Linked DNA regions of Schizosaccharomyces pombe. The protein of the gene in region 1 interacts with the protein of each later gene in a biochemical or structural test. Each region holds a gene or a part of one and is shown in the gene's direction. Other genes may lie near its edges.

Region 1 (6,885 bases):
GGAAAGATATTTGTCGTAGCTGAAGGTGATAAGACTGCTATTCACGGAAAAGATACTCTGTTTACAAAGCATTCAGTCGGTGATACTCTCCTTCTTCCTAATAATTATGGAAGTTCTCATATAGCATCCATTAAAAGTGATACCTTATTATATGTTAAACGTGAGTTTCGTGGAGAAGATGCTGAGAGAGTTTTGCTTTCTCCCGAAGGGTCGTCTTACAAGGTGGCTCCTGAGATTGATCAAACATATGTTTATAATGAAGTCCGTAGACGTCTGGTGAAGGGTGCATGCATTGCTCTATTCCCTGAAGGTGGATCTCACGATCGTCCTGAAATGCTACCGCTTAAAGCTGGCGTTGCAATTATGGCGTTGGAAACTCTTTCTCAGCATCCGGATTGTGGTCTTCAGCTTCTTCCCTGTGGAATGAATTATTTCCACCCCCATCGCTTTCGCTCACGTGCTGTGCTAGAGTTTGGCTCCCCACTGTCTATCCCTACGGAATATGTTGAGCTTTACAAAGCAAAGAAACGTCGCGAAGCTATTCAAGGAGTACTAGATATGATATATGATGCTCTTCTTTCTGTTACTGTTCAGGCGCCGGATTATGAAACTTTAATGGTCATTCAAGCTTGCCGACGTTTATATAAGCCAGCTCATATACAGTTTGCTCTCCCTAAAGTCGTTGATTTAAATAGGAAGTTAATTGTTGGCTATAACCATTTTAAACATGATCCCAGAGTAATTCGTCTCCACGATAAAATCCTTTTGTATAATCGTCAGCTATATCGTTTAGGATTACGTGATCATCAAGTTCAATCGTTACAATACTCAAGATTCATGATTTTGTACAAACTTGTTTATCGGTGTTGCAAACTATTCCTTCTTGCTTTAGGCGCACTTCCTGGTGCCATTTTGTTTTCCCCGGTGTTTATTGCCGCTCATCGGATCAGCGTCAAAAAAGCAGCTGCAGCCCTAAAAGCCTCTTCTGTTAAAATCCAGGGACGTGATATCTTAGCTACTTGGAAGTTGCTGGTTGCACTTGGTATGACACCAATCCTTTATTCTTTTTATGCATTGTTATGTTGCTATTATATATATTCCTATAAGCTCATTCCTCATTCAAGTATATTTGTTTATACTGTCCCAATTATTTCTACCTTTCTTTTTCCAATGGTTACTTACGCAGCCCTAAGGTTTGGTGAAGTCGCTGTGGATATATACAAATCTATTAGACCTTTATTTCTTGCTCTGATACCCTCAAAGGCAAATGCTGTATATATTTTAAAGGATGAAAGAAAGCAATTGGTTGCAGAAGTTACGGACCTGATTAACAAGCTTGGTCCTGAACTATTTCCTGATTTTGATCCTGACCGGATTACTACAACCATTGAGAAACCTGAGCGTCCCTCAAGATTTGCGAGACGTCTTAGCTCATCTGTAGCTTCGGATGTTGATAATCTTTCCCAGCTTCACGACACTGATTTGAATTCGGAAGTATCAGCTCCTGCTCCTCTACAAAATGTCTATTTATATTCACCAAACCCCTCTGCTCTTCCACCTTCGGACGAAGAAGAGAAGGATATAAACGATAAGGCTAAATTAATTCGAAATGCTTTGCGCCAACGAATGGGACAACGTATGACTGAAATCAGATCTCGTGATACTCCACCTGAAGAAGTATTCAGTGAATCTGACGAAGAATTAAGTGACTGAGCAGTCGAAAAGTTTGACCCTAATGAAAATTGATGAAAAATTTTCCCTAAAAGCGTAACCGTTTAAAATGGTTATAAGTACCCTCCTGTGATTGTAAATTTATCTTCCTTCTACTCACGCCAAAAATTATATTGTGTATCTCAGTCGTTAATATGAAATAAATTTCTGTTGGTTTGTTATGTGATTTTTTGAAAAACAATTAAGCAGTATAATTGTTGTTCATAACATCAAATGTATTAATGTATTGGGTAAAACAATTTTATTGAATGTCCTGTTCGACAAATTAGTCAAACGTAACTATTAACTACTATTGAGCATTATTGCATAGAGATTGATTGCACGATTTAGTTACTTTTTTTAATGAATCATTTTATAAAATACTAAATATTTCTAAAAAAATTTGTATCGAGTGACTATTTGAATGATCCCAGCACTTTGTCTTAGAAGGCTAGACGATGTACGGACCCTGCATTAAGTGTAGGTACAAGTGTACTTTATACGAACCACAGCAGTAAACGTTTAAAACGCAACATTTGTATTCCCCGGAACTTTTCTAATTCAGGCTAAAAATATAAAATGCAATCCACTAATAAAGAATTATTCAGAAGCTCAGTCTCTGAATCCCTCAAGTCTACAGCACCCTTAATGGGAAAGAGTGTTTATGAGCAAAATTTGAATAAAATTCGGAATTCCGACGTCAATCTTTCATCGTTTGCATTTATTTTTAGTGAATTAATTCAAAGGATTCAGTCCCAAGTATCAGGAATCCAAGAATTCGAAGAAAAGTAAGCGTCAACATTTCAGACCGAACTGTTTACTAATGCTATAGATTAAACGAACACGGTTATAGAGTTGGTCAAAAATTAGTTGAATTAGTTGTTTGGAGGGAGCGAAATCCCAAACGTGAAACTCGTATATTAGGCATTTTACAATACATTCACTCATCTGTATGGAAATATCTTTTTGGGAAACACGCGGACTCCTTGGAGAAGTCTAAGGAGGCTTCGGATGAATGTATGTTTTCTATTGCTATGCAAATATTCGAACAAGCTATCATACGCGTTCTTGAATTTTTTTATTTATTATTCGTGTTTTTAACTAACTGGAGCTATAGACATGATAGTTGATAACAATCCTCTTCTTAACAAATTTATTTCAGTTCCTAAGGAAATGAATCAGCTAAATTGTTGCGCGTATTTAGCTGGAATCATCGAAGGATTCCTTGACAGTGCCCAATTTGTAAGTTGAAAATGAAGCATATATTTATGAATATACGGCTGCCATGTTGAATCTTGTCCAAGTGCTAATCAAAATGTAACTTTCGCTCGAATACAAATACAATTCTTCAGTTAAATGATAATAACTGCTGAATATACGTTTGTTAAGAGCCTCTGGCTTTTTTGTGCACAGCTTTTGTTATATTAAGACTTCTAGCTAACAATCTAGCCTTGTAAAGCTTCTGCCCACTCGGTGCCTCTTTCGCAATATCCATACCGAACTGTCATTCTCATAAAGCTTGATCCATCAGTAATAGCTAGAGAGGAAGTTTTGGGATAATGAGACTTAACACAAGTGTCATGTATTTCGTTGGAAAGCTTTCTATTGTGAAAATTCGAACATAACACATGAAAGCTTCGTTATTTCTAATTGCCTCAAGCTTTCCTACATAAAGGAAGATTTCGAGTACAATTGCTTTTTTCGTACATTCATATACCTTTAACAATCAAAGTTTTCGAAGTTTTTTTGTTATAAGGGAAATCTTTCAATACTTTAGAGATCCGTAAGATTCGGTCTCTCATTTGAAGAGAGCCTACGGGCTCATATCCTATTGTGTGAATTGTTTGAAGTTTCTTTGTTTTAAAGTCAATCTAATCGTTTTACTTACTCTTTCTTTTTACTGAGATGGGAATTAGCTGGTTTTTGTCACGTTTTAGAATACGAACTGTGGCGCCGTCTAGCTTTCTGAAGCCAAGGGGTTTGGTGTATAGACCATCACAAATTCGTCGCCGTGTTAGTTTGTTATCGTTGTCAGGGTTTCATCCATATCGTGCGTACAGTATATTAGGACCGAAAACTCCTACAGCTTTTAATTCTGCTAATACTGTACGATTTTTTTCCTTTTCCTCTATTTCAAGACTGGTGTTTAGATCCCTTCGTCTCCCAGTTGCAGGGTTCTCTTTGGTTGCTGGAGGTGCTGCATACATTGGTGCTCAAGTTCAAAGAGCAAGCGATTATACGAAAGACATTTTTGATAAAACGTTTGGAATCCTTGACTCTACTTGGGAAAAAACCCGGGAAACTGTAGCAAGCGTTACTAATGTCCAATTACCGGAAATAAGTATGCCCTTGTGGCTTGAAAAAATTCTTCGGTTAGATGAGGAAAGTGCTGAACGGCGTCGTGTATTACAAGCCGAAAGAGCAAAAGAGCATCGCTCTAATTCTAATGACAAGCAAAAAAGTTCAGATAATGATGAAGATCCTAATGATACTACAGTTGGAATCGGAGCCGCGCTTGCAGCCTCTATACTTAGTGTAGATTCAGTTGATGGTGAGGATACTCTTACAGCCGACGAAAAACGAAAATTAGCGCAAGAATCGAAAGAAGATCGCATGATGTTGTTTACGAAAAAAATGATCGAAATCCGAAATATTCTACAAGATATTCAAGATAACAACAGTGCAGTGACTTTGCCAAGCATAGTTGTCATTGGCTCTCAGAGCAGCGGTAAAAGCAGTGTTTTGGAAGCAATCGTTGGGCATGAATTTTTGCCAAAAGGGTCTAATATGGTAACTAGAAGACCTATTGAGCTTACTTTAGTACACTCTGCCGATACCGCTATCCCCTATGGTGAATTCTCTGGTGTTCAACTTGGTAAAATTACCGATTTTTCTAAAATTCAACATATTTTAACAGACTTGAATATGGCAGTTCCTTCGAGCCAAGGAGTGGACGATAATCCAATTCGTTTGACAATCTATGCGTCTCACATACCCAATTTATCTTTAATTGATTTACCCGGTTATATACAAATTCATTCTGAAGATCAACCTGCTGATTTAGACATGAAAATATCTAAATTATGTGAGAAGTATATCAGAGAACCTAACATCATTCTTGCTGTTTGTGCGGCCGACGTTGACCTTGCTAATTCTGCAGCTTTGAGAGCCAGTCGACGTGTTGATCCTTTAGGTTTACGTACAATTGGTGTTGTAACTAAAATGGACTTGGTACCTCCTTCAAAAGCAATTTCGATTTTGCACAATAATAACTATCCTCTACATTATGGTTATATAGGTGTTATTTCTAGAATCGTGCCGACTGGCCGCTTTTCAGCTGGTCAAAATTTAACTGATCTGGTTAGCACACAAGAGAACAGCTATTTTTCTACGCATCAACAATTTGCTGATGCTCGAATTGGAAATTATCTCGGCATCCAAAGTTTAAGGAAATGCCTTATTAATGTTTTGGAATATACCATGTCAAAAAATTTACAGCATACCGCCGATTCAATTCGAACAGAGTTAGAGGAGTGCAACTATCAATATAAAGTGCAGTACAACGATAGAGTTTTAACAGCAGACTCGTATATTGCTGAAGGCCTAGACATTTTCAAAGCTGCTTTCAAGGAATTTACTCAAAAATTTGGTAAAAGCGAAGTTCGTGATTTATTAAAATCTTCTTTAAATGAGAAAGTTATGGACCTACTTGCTGAGCGATATTGGACTGATGATGATATTAGTAACTGGTCTAAGCATACTAATGCTTTGGATGAGCATTGGAAGTACAAACTTGATAGTTGCGTATCAACTTTGACGCGCATGGGTTTGGGAAGAGTTTCTACTTTACTAGTTACTGATTCAATTAGTAAATGTATTGACGAAATTACGAAAGCTAGCCCATTTGCGGATCACCCAGCCGCTATGCAGTACATTATGAATGCTGCTCAAGACATATTGCGACGGAGATTTCACGCCACTTCTGAACAAGTTGAAAACTGTGTTAAACCTTACAAGTATGATGTTGAAGTCAACGACGATGAATGGAAATCTAGTCGAGGTCAAGCTGAAAAATTATTGCAAAGAGAACTTGGTTTATGTCAGTCTGCTTTAGAAAAAATAAAAAATGCTGTTGGATCTAGACGCATGAATCAGGTTTTGCAGTACTTGGAAGAACAAAAAACTTCCAGTGAACCTTTGCCCGCTTCTTACAGCACGGCTTTGCTTGAGCAAGGACGAATGTTACAATATCTAAAAATGCGCGAGGATATTTTAAAATTACGAATTTCTGTTTTAAAATCTAGGGCCTGTAAGCACAAAGAAGCGAAGTACACCTGTCCTGAAATTTTTTTAAATGCCGTTTCTGATAAACTGGTTAATACCGCAGTTTTATTTATTAATATTGAGCTGCTTTCTGAGTTTTATTACCAATTTCCACGTGAACTGGATCAGCGTCTCATCCATTCTTTGAGTTCTGAACAGTTGAATGCATTTGTCAATGAAAATCCTCGTCTCAAGTCACAGCTACAGTTGCAGCATAAGCGGCAATGTTTGGAATTGGCTCTGCAGAAGATCAATTCATTAGTTATCTTGGAACAGCAAGCCGATAGCGATTAAATAACGAGTAAAGTAGTCCGAGTTTAATGAATTTTTTTAACTAACTTTCCAAAAATGCTTGTATGTGTTACTATGTATAGCCTGGTAGTTTTCTCGTGAATAAAATTGTTTGTAAGCAGTACAGAATTGCGTTACAAATTTTTGATGCATATTGCAAATCTATGTTTATGAAAAGTGCACAACATTCAAATAACTACTTAAATTTTTGCAGTAACGTTACTGTTATTCAAATAATACATAGGCTTCGCTCATCAAATCTCCCTGATTGCATAAATCATTTTCGTAATAAGATTGGGTATTTTAAGAAACTCCCTTGATTCGAATTATAACAGTATATTACAGATACCACACAAATCTAATAAAACCCCGATTCATGCGTATCGCATTGCTAGACGAAGTAAACAAGATTCGAATTTAATACTATAAATATATATTGTCCAATCTTCTCATAACTCTTTAAATCGCCATTCTGCAAAAAGCTAAAGGTACATGATTTGCAAAAATAAAAACAGTACCCTGACATATGACAGAGTAACTAACTCATGATCTTCTTTAATT
Region 2 (7,581 bases), on another chromosome or scaffold:
TTTTTTAATGACTTGATCACATTGATGATGGTAGCATATAATAAATATTCAGAACAAAATAACTGCATATAAATTTGCATTTCACACTAAGATAAGTAATTGATGTAGAACATATACATCCCGATTCTTCATGGCAGAAAAAACGCTTGCAAGTATGTTAGTGATTTGCAATTTTGCACTTGATGAATATAATTAAAAACTAAAGCTGCATCCAAAACATAATTAAATCGAGGCTGATGTATAATATTAATTTTCTTACAGGTATTCGTAAGAGATCGTACTTTGGAAAAAAACTAATGACTTTTAAAATCATTGGGCATACTTTAGTATGAAATTCAAATTGTATTTTGAACTGAGTTGGTGATTATGTATATGCACACTTTCTTTAAAAGATCAAAGATTTTGACAAAGAAAATTCTCTTGGCGAACAAAGAAACATCAACAAAGAACTTGGGAGGAAAGAAATAGTCATTGTTAAAAGCTAAGAAAGGAAAAGTCTTCGAATTTGCCAAAACATTAAGAAATTCTTTATATACTCAAATCAATGTATTTTAACCCACTTGCACTTCTTATACAGGTTTTTCAAGATGCATTTATATTTACATATACTGGTTACCCTGCTATCAATGTTCAACATCATATTCAAGCGTTTTCAAAACCAAAAAAGTTATACTTACAAACCTTGAGTTTTTCATTTCATTTCTTTTTTCTTTCGAGATCAATGAACATACTAAAAAGAATTCATTCAAGCTGAACACCTTCAATGCCTTTCATTGTTTAAAGACTTTATTATATAATTGTACATAATTTAACACAATACAAGCAAGTCCCGAGTGGCTCAATCGGTTTAGAGCGTCTGACTCTTATGATGGTCATCAGAAGGTTGCGAGTTCGAGTCTCGCCTTGGGAGGTTATTTTTTAATGTCTATATCTTACAAGTCCTTCTTATGTTGCAGTAGTGTAAATTACCGTTTTTAACCATCGTGCAACGTGGAACACAAAATTGACTAAATTAGGAAATCCCATTTTCAAAAACTATTATTGACTTCATAAGTTATGAAATGAAAAAGTTTTATACAACAGATCAGATGATGATGAATATTGTGCTAGCGTAATAGCATCTCCACTTTTCATCTTTGGAAACTTTTGCAAAGAAGGGATGTGAAAAATCAGCCTTCAACTTATCCTTTCGTAAGTGCAGCTCCACTCCACCCGGGGGTATAGAAATTACGAAACATCTTGAAAAAACGTCAACGAATGCATCAACAAGATCTTAGCATGTTTCGGATATGTCATGGTAAAGTTCGATTGCTTTGTGCATCTCCGTTAGCAGCTGCATCAAGCGAGTATCCAACGATGATCATCTCGATTCGTTTTGTGTGTTCATGAAACCCACGCCTTGCGTATGAAGTTGCCCACTTTGTATGACAATGAGATAATCTTACACTGCAATAAGGCCATATACCCGTAGTTGTTGGTACGACCACTCACATTCCAAAGTCCAACTCAATAGTGAAGAAATTCATCATTGGCAACAAGTCATCAACACTTCGTTGCTGTTGGACACTTCTACCAAACGTTCTTTATTGACAACTTTGAACGGCTTCGGCTGCATTCCCGAGCCCTGTAACGCCTATCTTTCATGTGGCTCGGAATGTAAACCAGAAACTCAGACAAATACCGCTGTTGGATCGCACTGATGATATTTGTTTATCGAGGCTGTGTTCATTTTTCTTAGTCATTTTAGCGTAACGAACTGACACCGAAAAATATCAAGCAATCAAGTAGATCCATCTGTCCAAGCACCAACCACATCTTTGCTCGATAATCAAACTTGGATTACCGATAGTTAAAGGTGAAGGATCGGTTTTGCTGGTTTCATTCGATTTTCCAAACATCGTCGATTCAGTAGACTGGGGTTGAGTCAGTATCCAAGCCATTCTTGCGCTCAATTGATAATTATGGTAGGTTACCCAAATGTTGTATGCCAACTGTATTACTTACCCGTGGTTATATTTTGAAAACAGCGAAACTGTGTAAACAATTTCTGTTTGTTTCTCAATTGTTTGTGGCGTACACGTATTGCAGCTCTCAAGTTGCTATAGTATATTTTTATTGTCTAATAAAAATTTAATGAATTTATTTAGTTGAAATATTTGCAGTAAGAATGTTCATGTTGATATACCATGTAAAAAAGTCACATAAAGTTGAGCAAGCTGAAAAAGAATAAGTTTTCGCCTCCAAATATAAAAATTTCAATTAAATTGTAGAAAATTATAGATTCTTTATAATATCGTAATTTCTTAAGCGGGGCCTATAGTCTTTCATCAACTTTTCACGACAGTCGTTGTTATTCATACCATAGGATGAAGACGATTTCAAACATCCAATATTCGCTTATAATGATGAAATGAACTTCAGTAACCCGTTCAATACATTCATTATATACTGAGATTTCATCTATTATTGAAGCAAGTTTCAATGTTTGGCATGAAGCCGGCTCTAACACTTGTCAGATTTCAAGTACCTGTTTTCATTATTTTTTTTGCTCAAATTTTCAAAAAAAGTGTAATGGCATGTGTTATCAGATATGGTATGCATCATGTCCCTGGTTATCCCCGAAGTAGAACGGGTTCTTGACCGTGCTACCAAGTCGTGTTACTTTTCGATGAAAAACTGGAATTCCCTGCTAAAACTACACGAGTAAAACAAGAAAAAATATTCATCTATTGCAATAACTTGCTCCTAGATTGCCAAAACGAGTACTACGTAAACAAATGTGAAAGAAGCAGAAAAGACTGCTAAAGTTGCTTTTAACGAAAATGTAAATAAGAGAAGAAAAGACAACTTTAACGGTTCGATTTTACTACAATATGAATATTAATTAAACTTCATAAAGCGAAACTGAAAAACTAAATAAAATTTGCTCTACAGCTATAAATCAGCTGTTAATATTCAAGTTTTTATCAAGACAGCACTATGAGCCTGAGATTACCACCCTCAAGGACTAGAAACCAAGTAGTGGATTGCTTCCGTTCCTTAAGTCATCCTATCGTGATCCGCCGAAATAATCGTAAGCCTTCAATACACTCTTCATATGTTCCCTGATCAAGTCCAAGTAGTGCCCCACCCTTCCCTACTCTTGAACACTTATATCCGCTCCTCCAGCATTCATGTTGTCCTCTGCCAAACTTATCTTGGCCAATTCCGTCTTTTGGACTACTCTGCATAAGAACTCAGCATTGTTTTCGATTTTAGGAATTGCTGGGATCCTGTTTGTATTAATATTGTAGATCGATATTTTGAAACATCTGTAGGCCTTCTATATAGTGGGTTGTTCTACATATTATTTATTTATTCATTCATCTTTCTTTGTTTTACTTACTGTTCTCCATATTTTTATCTGATTATACAGGGTTTGAATTAAAATCCGTTAGTTTATTTTATTCTACCTTTTTCAACTATTTGACCGCCCCAATATTTCCATTTTTACTTTCTCCTTTCTTGTTTCTTCTCTCTTTTAATTTATGAAAGTTCAATCCTTATTCGAATATCATTAACTTAACCTTTATTGGATTTATACATCACGAATCTTATACACTTTACATACTTTCTTTATTTTACGCTCCCCTTCGTTTCTTTTTCTTTGTCTTTACCTTTTTTTATTGCTGTTACTCAAAACGTCTTGTAACTTACATTTGTTATTTGTGTTCTTGTGCTACTTCCCATTTTTTTTTCAAGGTCCGTCTATTTCCGTTCCACGTTTCACTTTTCTGTTCTACAATACACTCAGAAAAGTGCTTTAGGTTATTTATGAGGCACTCTTATTTTATTAATTCGTTTCCAGTATCTATTTTGTGATCACACCCTATTTTGTATCGTGGTGTCATTCACTTTTTCCTTTACTTATTCCAAATTTCATGCTACTTTTTCGACATTTATTCTACTTTTCATCATAAGTATTTCAGATTTTCTGAAGTTGCTATTATTCAGTCTGCAATTTTACTTTTGGAAAGCCTTTTCCCTTAATAAAAGGTTAGATTTGAATGGTGAAGCGACACAAAAATACTATTGGCGTATGGCGTCTTGGGAAGACTTTAGGGACTGGTTCCACTAGCTGTGTGCGTCTTGCCAAGCATGCTAAAACTGGTGATTTGGCTGCCATCAAAATTATCCCTATTCGATATGCCTCCATAGGAATGGAAATCTTAATGATGCGTTTGTTGCGCCATCCTAATATTCTTCGACTATACGATGTTTGGACCGATCATCAGCATATGTACTTAGCACTCGAGTACGTCCCTGATGGTGAGCTTTTTCACTATATACGCAAACATGGACCTTTGAGCGAAAGAGAGGCTGCGCATTATCTTTCCCAAATTCTTGATGCTGTAGCGCATTGTCATCGCTTTCGCTTTCGCCATCGGGATTTAAAACTTGAGAATATTCTCATCAAGGTAAATGAGCAACAAATTAAAATAGCTGATTTTGGCATGGCCACTGTTGAACCAAATGACTCTTGTCTTGAGAATTATTGCGGCTCTTTACATTATTTGGCTCCCGAAATTGTATCTCACAAACCATATCGTGGAGCTCCTGCTGATGTTTGGTCTTGTGGTGTCATCTTGTATTCATTGTTGTCGAATAAGCTCCCCTTTGGTGGTCAAAACACAGATGTTATTTATAATAAGATTCGCCATGGCGCATATGATCTTCCTTCTTCAATTTCTTCGGCTGCGCAAGATTTGTTACACAGAATGCTAGATGTAAATCCAAGCACGCGTATAACAATTCCGGAAGTTTTTTCTCATCCATTTCTAATGGGCTGTACATCATTGAGCTCTATGGATAGCACTACCCCTCCTACCCCTTCACTGTCAATTGACGAAATTGATCCATTAGTAGTTGATTGCATGTGTGTGCTTTGGAAAAAATCATCCTCTAAAAAAGTCGTTCGTCGTCTTCAACAGCGAGATGATAACGACGAAAAATATGTGTATAAAGTTTTATCCGAGATTTTGCGCGATGATATGTTGAAAAAACAACGTTTTGATGAAAATAAATATCTCAGTCTTTACGATTTAATTCACGACAATAATCTTTTCACCAAAGCTTCTATTTCAACAACATCGTTAGTAAAATCCAATGTTTCGACAAACTCTCGCAAAAGTAGTAATTTTGAAGATGAACTTGCTAGAAGAGTTTCTAGTCCGCTTTCAGCCTTAAATCAAATGTCTCAATCTCCAATACCGATCAGGGTGTCTTCTGACAAGGATTATGACAGCTATGCCTGTCATGAAGTAGTTTCAAACCCATCGACTTTGGATGATGACTATAATTATATGTTTGTTTGTCCACCAGAAGAGTATACTTATTCAACTGATAATGTTAGAACTGATTCTCTGGACTTACAATCTCTCCCCACTCCTACCCTTGAGCAATTAGAATCCGTACCATTCAATCGGTATGGCTATGTCCGCATCTTTCCTAGCACCACTCTGTCTAGCACAGCCAGTGGCTACTACACTCCTGATTCACTTTCAACTCCTGAACCATCAATAGATGGGCTAACCAATTTGGACGATGTCCAGGTTGGAGGCTTTGTTCAAGGATCAGGCAATCAAAATAGACGTCCCATATCTTTTCCTGTAATCAGTAATATGCAGCCGAACATAACTAATGTGAGATCTGCTTCTGCTCCTTTATGTTCATCTCCAGTTCCAAGTCGGAGATATTCTCAATATGCTACTAATGCAAGATATACTCCCAGAAAAGTTTCTTCCGGTTCTGTATTACGAAAGATTTCTTCATTCTTTCGGAAGGATTAAATAGGAATTTTTTCAAAAACACAGTCTTCTTCCTCAAAATCAACCATTAATGTCTATACTGTGGGCGGCTATTCAAATGTTAAGATCTGTTTATAATTTAATGAGGATGATAATTATTTTTTTTGGATCTCCCGTCGTGTGTACCTGTACCTTTCTACGAATTTAATGATCTTTTTTGGCAATTGGACCTTTGAGTCTATTAGCAATTTAATGGTTTTAGGGTTTTACGTTATATATCTGTTAATGATTTGGGCACACTAGTTTATATATGTAACTAATGAATATCTTCTATTACAATCGCTTTCCAGAAATCAGTAGTCTGTATAAAGTAAAATTTTGTTGTGAACATTAGTTTTATATGAAATTTGGGTGTTTTTATGTAATAACGTCTGTTGGTTTTTGAAAATTGTCGAATATTCCGGAGTGTTTAGTAATAAAATTGAGGTTTAAGAGTTATCGCAATAAATAAAATATGAAGAAATAATTCCTATAAACGTTTACCTCTTTAGAAAGTTTTTATACACTGTCTACGTTTATATATTAGGTATGTTGTACGGTGTATATCTTGACTAAATGTAAACAAACGCGACGCGCCGTCAACCGCAACGTGTCGCGTAACTTCAAATTTATATGCAACGCCAGTATCTATTGCAAACACTCATTCCCAATCAAGAATTCTATTGTCTGTGAAATTACACAGTTTTATAGTTTAAACATGAGTTTTTTCGTTCAAAAACTTTCTGAAAAAGCAACCATTCCTACTAAAGGCTCTGCAAATTCTGCTGGATATGATTTGTACGCGGCTGCTGAATGTATAGTTCCAAGAAGAGGAAAAGTTTTAGTGGATACCGATTTGGCAATTGCTGTTCCTGAGGGGACTTATGGTCGTGTTGCTCCAAGAAGCGGATTAGCTTCAAAACATAGCATTGACACTGGCGCCGGTGTGATTGATGCAGATTATCGTGGCCATGTTCGTGTTTTACTTTTCAATTACAGTGATGTTGATTTTCCTATAAAGGTCGGAGACCGGATAGCCCAACTTATTTTGGAAAGAATTGTCAATCCACCAGTCATACTTGTAGAGAGCTTAGAGGCTACAGTCCGCGGTGCTAATGGCTTTGGAAGTACCGGTGTTTGAGGCCGCTTTTAAAACATAACCTGCAATCAAAGGTTTGGACACTTGTATTTTATAATGCTATTTTGTATATTCGGTATGAAAATTCTTCAATAAATATTTTTATTGGGTGAAGTAACTGAAAACTTTGCAATTAAAGGAATATAGGAGTTGTAAGCTGCTCTCGTAAAGATACAGTAATTATAACGAATGATGTTATCAGACAAAGCTGATCCTTAATTTAGGTGTACATTTAGAAAATGTACGTAGAAATTCTAACTACCCGTCGTAATAGGTAAAAAAAAAAATAGAATCATCCAAGATTAAGCCTCAGTTTAGAATCACCGAGATACAAAATCGAAAATTAAAATATGTGCATGGGGGTTTATACCTAACGTGACTTTCTTTTACCTTGATTATTGCCCAGTATGAAATGATGATTAAATTAAAGTAATTAAAAACCCCTTTACATTCTGATGCAAAGCAAGGAACAATTATTAAGAAATGACTTAAGAATGTCAAATAAGTAGCAAAAGTGTAAAGAATTAAGAATGCTCTCGTCTCAAAATACGAACATTGTCCATAAACAACTGTACCCTCCGAAACAAAGGAGCTTCCATTCCATCTTTGGCCTTTTGA

The links. Proteins that work in one complex are often made in the same cells at the same time.
Region 2: the proteins of msp1 (region 1) and cdr1 form a complex in vitro, tested with the Schizosaccharomyces pombe proteins (one study listed by BioGRID).

What each region holds. Positions count from the first base shown.
Region 1 is NC_003423.3:3,476,283-3,483,167, forward strand, and holds msp1 (dynamin family GTPase Msp1), read left to right. Parts: upstream 1-3,413; 5' UTR 3,414-3,615; coding exon 3,616-6,327; 3' UTR 6,328-6,382; downstream 6,383-6,885. Other genes in the region: sct1 (glycerol-3-phosphate O-acyltransferase), read left to right, coding at 1-1,713; TRAPP complex subunit Trs31, read left to right, coding at 2,290-2,498, 2,543-2,727, 2,828-2,952, 3,160-3,270. UniProt on the Schizosaccharomyces pombe protein: Dynamin-related GTPase that is essential for normal mitochondrial morphology by mediating fusion of the mitochondrial inner membranes and maintaining respiratory chain function.
Region 2 is NC_003424.3:2,678,012-2,685,592, reverse strand, and holds cdr1 (serine/threonine protein kinase (NIM1 family) Cdr1/Nim1), read left to right. Parts: upstream 1-3,185; 5' UTR 3,186-4,046; coding exon 4,047-5,828; 3' UTR 5,829-6,125; downstream 6,126-7,581. Other genes in the region: dut1 (deoxyuridine 5'-triphosphate nucleotidohydrolase), read left to right, coding at 6,544-6,966; pct1 (RNA 5'-triphosphatase), read right to left, coding at 7,488-7,581. UniProt on the Schizosaccharomyces pombe protein: This protein, a dose-dependent mitotic inducer, appears to function as a negative regulator of mitosis inhibitor wee1 by phosphorylating and inactivating it.